Styela clava: one gene and its partner. The protein of the gene in region 2 interacts with the protein of the main gene of each other region in a pairwise test. Links are inferred from orthologs where the notes say so. Each region holds a gene or a part of one and is shown on either strand. Other genes may lie near its edges.

Region 1 (3,935 bases), on a different chromosome or scaffold from region 2:
TGATTGATCCTAGTATATAGGATACTGCAGCAAAATATGAATTCTACTATATCGAAGCATGGTTATAATATTATGGAATTCATCGGATTGCCAGGATGTTCGAATGTTGTACAAATTATGAAAGCTCGAGTCTTCTCTACGTGTTATATCACGGAATGCGTAGAATAAAAAATAGGGAGAAAAAAATAGGAATATCTTTATTGATATTATTATGACTCTTACATGATGAAAATAAATTTTGAATCTGAATCTGTGCTATTTATATGGCAGACCAGAAAGATTTGTTCATTCAACATAAATCGACATCATATACAGCATGTAAAATGTAATAAAAAATCGTATATTTTGTACATCCATTCACTACTCTCTGTTTCTATTGACATGTTTTAATACTTAATTTTATATATTTCACTTGCATTTTGGTTTATTTTCAAATTTAGATGTTATGATCTCCCTCTTCTGGCAACGCTTATATGCTGTTTCCAAGTAATGGCTATAACGAAAACAGCTGCAGCTTTGGTTGGTAGAATGTCACTCTATATACGGGAACAATCTCTCACAAACAAACAAAAAAACATATTTTATTTTTAATGCTTGAATAATTTTATTATAATTGTTATAGCATTAATTTCATCGAGGGCTAATTTTGTTTGGTAAGGCATCACAAAATTTCGACTCAAGTATGCTCCCAGTGGTCAAAAAACTCAACGTGATTTTCAGTTAGCAGCATGGCCCCTTTCGCAGTTTTTATGCTTTTCTTGTGTAGTTATATTTTTGTATTTGCCAACTTTGTTCTTCGATCAGGTGTCCGAGTTGCTTTTTAAAATAAATCCTTCTTTGTTTAGTAATTTTTATCCATCAATTTAAATAAATATAAATTAAAATGAATCCTGAACGACTGGCCCAACTTCAAAAAGACGTCAGAATTGGCGGAAAGGTGAGTTTCAGCTGTCCGCTCAGCTGTTCTAACCTGAAATGAGCTAGATTATATTAATGTGATTTAATCACACTAATCAAACAATTACAGGATTGGGTGGTAACAGTATACTGGTAGACTATAGCATATAGTCGGACAGTAGTGGACTGCAACAGCAAACAGTTTCTCAGTTCCAGCTGCTGCTACTTCTTTAGGCCTACTTTCTCAGTTTTTGCTGCCCTATTACAGTATTACATGTCTCGAAAATACATTTTTCAGGTTTTCCATTTGGCTCATTTTTGTTTTCCCACAAGGTATATCTGTATATCCTACTCATATTCGTGAGTATTATACGGAAAATAAGAAAGTGAGATATATTGCTGCACTCACAGACTCAGGCACTGGCATGTATAGACTTATGAGATTGTTTTGAGGCGTATGATTCTTGAAACCAGAATTCTACATCCATCGTTTTTTAATAATCTATGGAATCTCAAAATCTGTTGACTAAACAACAGCCTCTAATAAATTGTTATTCTAAATAGAATTAATTATTCCCCCCTTTTCAAAATATACTCGTACTATCCTTTATAGTGGCCTATTGACGATAATTCGTTGTTACCTCAATTTATTTTATCACATTCTTTTTCAGGGTTCGGCAAGGAGGAAACGAAAAGTTATTCATAAAACTGCAACAGCAGATGATAAAAAATTACAAGCAACACTGAAAAAATTGTCAGTAAACAGTATCCCAGGCATTGAAGAAGTATGTTCATCACTATATGGCTCCAAAATTTCTCGAGATTTGTAATTAGAAAATGTGTAATATGATGTTTGGAAAATTTCAGTCTCAGTACTAAACTGTGCAAAACACGGAAAACAAGTGTAAAACCAGACTTACTACTTACTGAGAATAGTGCAAAATACACAACTAGCTTCAAACACAGCAAAGCAAAATAGTTACACGATTTTGGCTCGGCGGTCTGGCACATCATGCTAAGTGTAAGAAATACGCTCGCCACCGCACCTCTGATTATCCTGCGTGGGTTCCCAGGTTTGAATATCATGCGGGAATAGTTATGTGTGAGAGGATTGCTGGACTCATCGCCGCCGTAGGGTGGTTCACGTAAGGTGACAGAATCACTGGTTGGTTACGGCTACCTCCACCATCAAGTCCATGCTTACAAAAACAAATAACTGGCTAACTAATCCCATAACAGACATTGACTGGTAGCCGGACGAGGTGCATGGTTTGCCATATGATTAAGCAGTCTCATCGACTTTCCTACCCACGGGATGAAATATGTAAATTCTGTTTTGTTGTTTTCTTCTGTTTGATAAGTTGTAAAACCGGAATATTATTTAGGTTATTGATTGTTTATCATGAATTGAAAATAGAAAAACACAAGATAATATTCATGTGTGTTTCATTAATTAACAGGTCAACATGATTAAGGATGATGGGACGGTTTTGCATTTCAACAATCCAAAAGTACAAGCAGCACCATCATCAAATATGTTTGCCATCACTGGACATGGAGAGAACAAAAGTGAGACATGTTTGTTTGCTTTATAATGTTGTCTTTGGAAGCAGTGTTTCAAATTACACTACAATTCCTAGATATTTTAAAGAGGGATGTGGCGTTCCATTTGTTATGTGAATTTTTTTTCATGAAAAAGTTATAGGCTACTTTGTGACTCTGTATACTGCATATCGATAATGTCATAATAATAAAAATAAAGTTATCAGCCAGTGCATCTAGAAAATGGCGTTTTGTATTTAAATTATAACTCTTAGTAACCAAATAGTGTTCAATGCAGGCATATTAAAATTGTGCAATGCTTCCCAATCGAGTTAGCGAGAAGTAACTGTAAATCCCTCACCCTGTTGTCTGTCAAAAGCATATTGAACTGACCCTCAAACTCTTCAGTGAACTTTATAATTGAACATTAGCAAGTAACGCGAAAGTACATTACCTAATTATTGTATGAGGCATACATTGCACGAGATGCCTAGGGGATTACTTTTCTTATCACAGATAAGCGGTTTTCTATCTAGATCTTTCTACTGATCAACTATTTTTATATAAAAATTAATTTTATATATGCTATAAATATTATGTGCATGAGGTGGCCTTGCTGATATTGCTCTTTAGATTCCCATGCAGATAATTATAAGTATAATTAATAAATTTTTCGTTTTCTTATTATAGAACTATCTGAGATGATACCAACAATTTTAAACCAACTGGTATGTTGTTTTATTCATTTTTATATATAATAAGTGCTCACAAATAGTACATTAGCAATTTGAAATTTCAGAATCATTTTTTCCTGAAAATGTTGAATACCAAATTTCATTCATTTAAGGTATAGAGATTTAGCTTTTCATTAACGATACTGTGTTGTGTGTAAATTTTCTAATAATTTATTTTTTCATACCTTTGCTGTGGTAATTTTTTATTATGCCTCAAAAAATACAGATCTTTTGTCTGTTCTAAGATTAATGCTTTTTATTAAGTATGAAATATAATATGATACAAACTTTAATGCTGCCAATTATCTCACAGGGATCTGAAAGTATGAATGCATTGAAAAAGAACGCTCCTATAAAACAGGACGGTACGGGTATGCCTGCTGTCCCGGAAGAGATTGATGAGGAAGACGTTCCAGGTATGAATTATTCCATTAAAAAATATGACTAAGCAGTCATAAGCAACCCTTCAATGTGATATCATCCATTTCCGTTTGTATACAGTTTTGAATCTTTTTTTGTATATTTATTTAATCCATCAGACTCTTTCCTTATAGGTCCTTCAAACCTTCAAGTTGAAGTTTCCATTGCTCATTCAAAATTTCATCTTTTTTCAGATCTTACCGAAAATTTTGACGAAGCGTCAAAGGATGAAGGAGTTTAAATTTTTATATTACTTGAAACACGGCAACAACGAAACAAACTTTCGGTCCTTGGCAATTAAGTCTAGTCAGCAGGCCTGCATATCATACAGCTGGTATCGTT
Region 2 (3,935 bases):
GGTTCCCAAGCTTTTTTCAGGACGACCCCAAAGACAACTTTCAAGTGTCCAGTGCGACCTCAGGTCAATATATATATTTTTTATGAAACTTTAGTCGAGCTCCTTTCACTGGACTTTTGAGTTTGGTCATGTGGTGGTATTAAGTAAAATAAGCTAAAACCAAACAGTGATGTCACAATGAACATCTACCGGTACATTTTCTATAGCATAAGCATAGAGGGATGCCTATGGGCCTGGCCTGTTTTACAGTAAGCCATGGTAAACACTGCTAAATTTAACATGGTTTTTCAAATCTTAGATGTTTTGTACATCCATCCTCTACCATAGCTCAGCGACCCCATGACCTGTTTGCGACCCTACCTATTTATCATCCCGACCCAATTTGGGATCGCGACCCCTGGTTTGGGAATCCCTGCTCTAAAAGGTCAAAATGTCCTCCTTTTTCAAGGGAATTTAATATTTGAAATTCTCTTGTGACATAATCTACATTTTTTGATGGGTTAAGAAAATTTCAACGTAAATAGCAACTTGTAATTATCAATTCACATATGACAAGCAATACATTGCGTTGGGATACTATATAGGCCAGTCTGGATTTCATGGCCTTTTTGAACGAGAAATCAGGCGAGCAATCAGAAATTCCTGCGTGCAAAAAGACTGCGCTCGCGTGCAACAGAATTTGACTTCAGATTGCTCAATATATCTGTGTAAAATTATTGGACAAAAAATACGTTGAATCAGAGCAAAAAGGGACGTTTGACCTTTGACCCCCAAAATTTGTTTCTATACTTTGTCATTAATTTTGAGTGTTTGTGCGACTTTGGATACTGGTACTGTTCAGTACATCCTTGTAAAATTATTGAATAAAAATTTGTTGAATGTATGTATGTATGTAAAAAATACGTTGAATCAAAGCAAAAATGGGCATTTGACCCTTGACCCGTAAACATTATTTCTATACTTTGACATTAATGTTGGGAGTGTTTTTGCGTAAAATTATTGGATAAACAATACGCTGAATCAGAGCCGTAATTGACCAGCGTCGTCAAGGAGTCTGGCGATCTTTTTGCCCATAACTAGTCTCACGGGATTCCTTCAACACGATGGGCCTTACCGCCAAGCAATTATGAAATGTGGATTTCTTGCTTCGCATTTTTCGATCAGGCCAAATCTTGCAAGCTAGTATGTAGGGTGGCTTACCCACTTTGCGGCCAAGACCTATTTGCGACCATCAACTTCATCGATTAAATTAATGCCGAAAAAAATAACGAACCGAGACGATATTTCTCACGCGTTATCAGCCACTTATCCCTCGTAGCTCTGCGAAATTACATTAAAATGCGGCCACAAACAAAAAAGTTACGACCGAAAACCCGACCGAAGAAAAAAAACGGACCATTTTTCCATGTCGCCAACTACCCATTATCCCTTTGAAAAAGCTCGAAAATCCATACAAATTTAAGAGATAAAAAGATGAAACTTGGCAGGTGGGTAGAGTTCTGTTTCTTTTAACCATCTTTGAAGTTTCGCGTTTCTACATTCAAAGGAGGGGGAATAGGGGGGTGCGCATTTCCAATACGTCGATAATAGCATTGTCGACCAATTTGCGACCACCGTGTTTTTGTTCGTTTGATTGCTGTAATGCGGTGTTTTGTTTATAATTTGACGAGTTTTGTTCGAAATAACCTTGTTCTTAAAATATATGACAGTCAGAAATGCAATTAGAAGCTAATTTTTTTCACGCATGGCTGCGTATGCCCTAGTCTTGACGCAGCAGAAATGATGTTCAAGGCTTGAAATCCGTGGTCGCACACTGGTCGTTCGGTCGCAAATAGGTCTTCAGAGTGTCGTACTTTGGTGGTTTGTATAGCTTTAACCCCTGGTCGTAGAAAGTTAATTCGAGGTTTAGCGTGTAGAAGAAATGCCCATGCACCTACTGTGAAAAAATTAACAGGTTAGAAATATTGGTTTTTGTTTTATAGCGGTTTGAATGAAATTGTCCGCAGACTGGCTACACCACCCTAGTCAACAATTGTGGAGCTACAATTTGTTGACATCATTATATTACTGTAATATTGATTTAAAAACCATTTATACTGATTTTCATTGGTGAGCAATTGCAAATTTTGGGCGTGCAAAATTGAATTCGCTCGCGCCCTCGGTCGTGCACAATAGCGCTCAGGGTTTGGCAGACCTGCAAAAGTTAAGACTTTAAGAACCACTGCGCTCGGTTAAATGCATACTTTATCATGTAAAAATCGTTACTGCAATTAGCCTATCTTTTACGTCATATCATAAATGATTTACACCAAAATGTTTGACTCAAGTATCCATGCTAGATTTAGAAAAGATAAAACTGATAGCGAAGCGGAGTACGGTACCGGTACATTACGGTACTTGCGGCTATACCGGTACCTGGTACCCGTAGTTGCTCGTTGACAAGACAAGAATGCATTATTGCATTGTCGTCACATCGTCTATTGTCGCTTTTATTTTTAATACTAGAGAATTTAGGTAGATATATGACGTATACCGTATATCTCAGGCACAGGTGTACCAAACGATGTGTCCTCCTTTTAGGATTTGGAAATATGGCCACCCTACTGTTAACGTACCTTCGGTCTTTAGCGACGTGGGAATTATAGCTCTTGGAGATGACTCGCCAGCAAATCCAACTTTAGTATAAGCTTGTCCAATATCCAAAACAACGGCGAAAAGCGTCTGGTAAAGTGGCATTTTGCACAAACTGGAAAATACAAACGAAACAAACCTGCAAAACCCGAGCGACGGTACTGGAACGTGGAATGGTTTATGAGGGCGCTAACGAGCCTATTTTGGCTAAATTCAATGAACGAACAACATCTAATCAGGCTGCTGAATATCATTCAAACTACACCCAAATGCTAATAAGTCATTTTAGAATTTATTCCAAATGACAATATTACCCAAACCAAAATTTATTGACGCAATTTTTACACCATTATTCCAATAACAGATTATGATGCAATAATGTATTTACCATTGCCTGAATTATCTTTTCGTCCCTTCCCGCTTTGCGACCTCGACCATGCGTGTGGTTAGGTCGCCGCTGTAAGTTTGCCGTTTGAAACTCGTGTAGTTACGATATATAGCTCCAAAACTTTGAAAAGGAAAATGTACTCAACCATATGAAAGTCTAGTGTCGCATAAGTCGGAAGAAGTGCCGGAACCCAGCCTGAAACCGCAAGCTCAAAGTACCGGTGCTGTCCGCCATTGAAATGCGTTTTCCAGGATTGTGAAGCTAGGTATACTCATGGTAAGCAATATAGTTTCATTGTATACGGCGCTTTTGAAAAACTGAAATTAAGCATGTAATCGCAAGCTTGAAGTATCTGTGCTACTCGCCTGCGTGTTTTTGAAGAATATTTTCTCAGAGAAAGTTCACGAAAACTCCCTCAACGGGCGACCACTAAAATGCCAAAATCATTTGACACTATGATTCTTTAGTTCACAGTCAACCTTTTCAAAACTTTTCAAGATTGTACCAGCAGTTTTTCTTTTTATTAAGCGATATATTTTTATTCGATTTGTTATCGATGGTTTTAGCTGTTCATTAGGCAATGTGTTTATCTCGCACCATATAAGTAGCCTACCTAATTCAGTGGTTCCCAAACTTTTTTTTCATGACCCCATTTTTCATAAAATCAAAGACTACAGATATTCGCGACCTCACAACCAGAAACGTTCAGCAACTTTAAAAATCAGTATATTCAATTTAATTCGCTCAATGGGAACAATGTGGCAGTATATCTACTGCAAGGGTGACGTGGACGGTGGGAATATATGAAGGAGTCCGACAATGCGAGGACAAACGTGAAATCTTCAGAAGATTTAAAAACACTTGAAATCGTATGAACACCACTCTGTAAAAATCTCTCAGATTAGAATAACAACGG

The links.
Region 1: the proteins of actin-related protein 10-like (region 2) and transcription factor BTF3 homolog 4-like interact in a two-hybrid assay, tested with the Drosophila melanogaster proteins (2 studies listed by BioGRID). The link is inferred for Styela clava from reciprocal best matches to the Drosophila melanogaster genes Arp10 and bic.

The regions. Positions count from the first base shown.
Region 1 is NC_135259.1:8,483,791-8,487,725, forward strand, and holds the start of transcription factor BTF3 homolog 4-like, read left to right. Parts: upstream 1-777; 5' UTR 778-883; coding exon 884-937; intron 938-1,568; coding exon 1,569-1,682; intron 1,683-2,357; coding exon 2,358-2,466; intron 2,467-3,129; coding exon 3,130-3,167; intron 3,168-3,486; coding exon 3,487-3,589; intron 3,590-3,787; coding exon 3,788-3,834; 3' UTR 3,835-3,935.
Region 2 is NC_135261.1:3,681,164-3,685,098, forward strand, and holds the start of actin-related protein 10-like, read right to left. Parts: upstream 2,851-3,935; 5' UTR 2,737-2,850; coding exon 2,616-2,736; intron 1-2,615.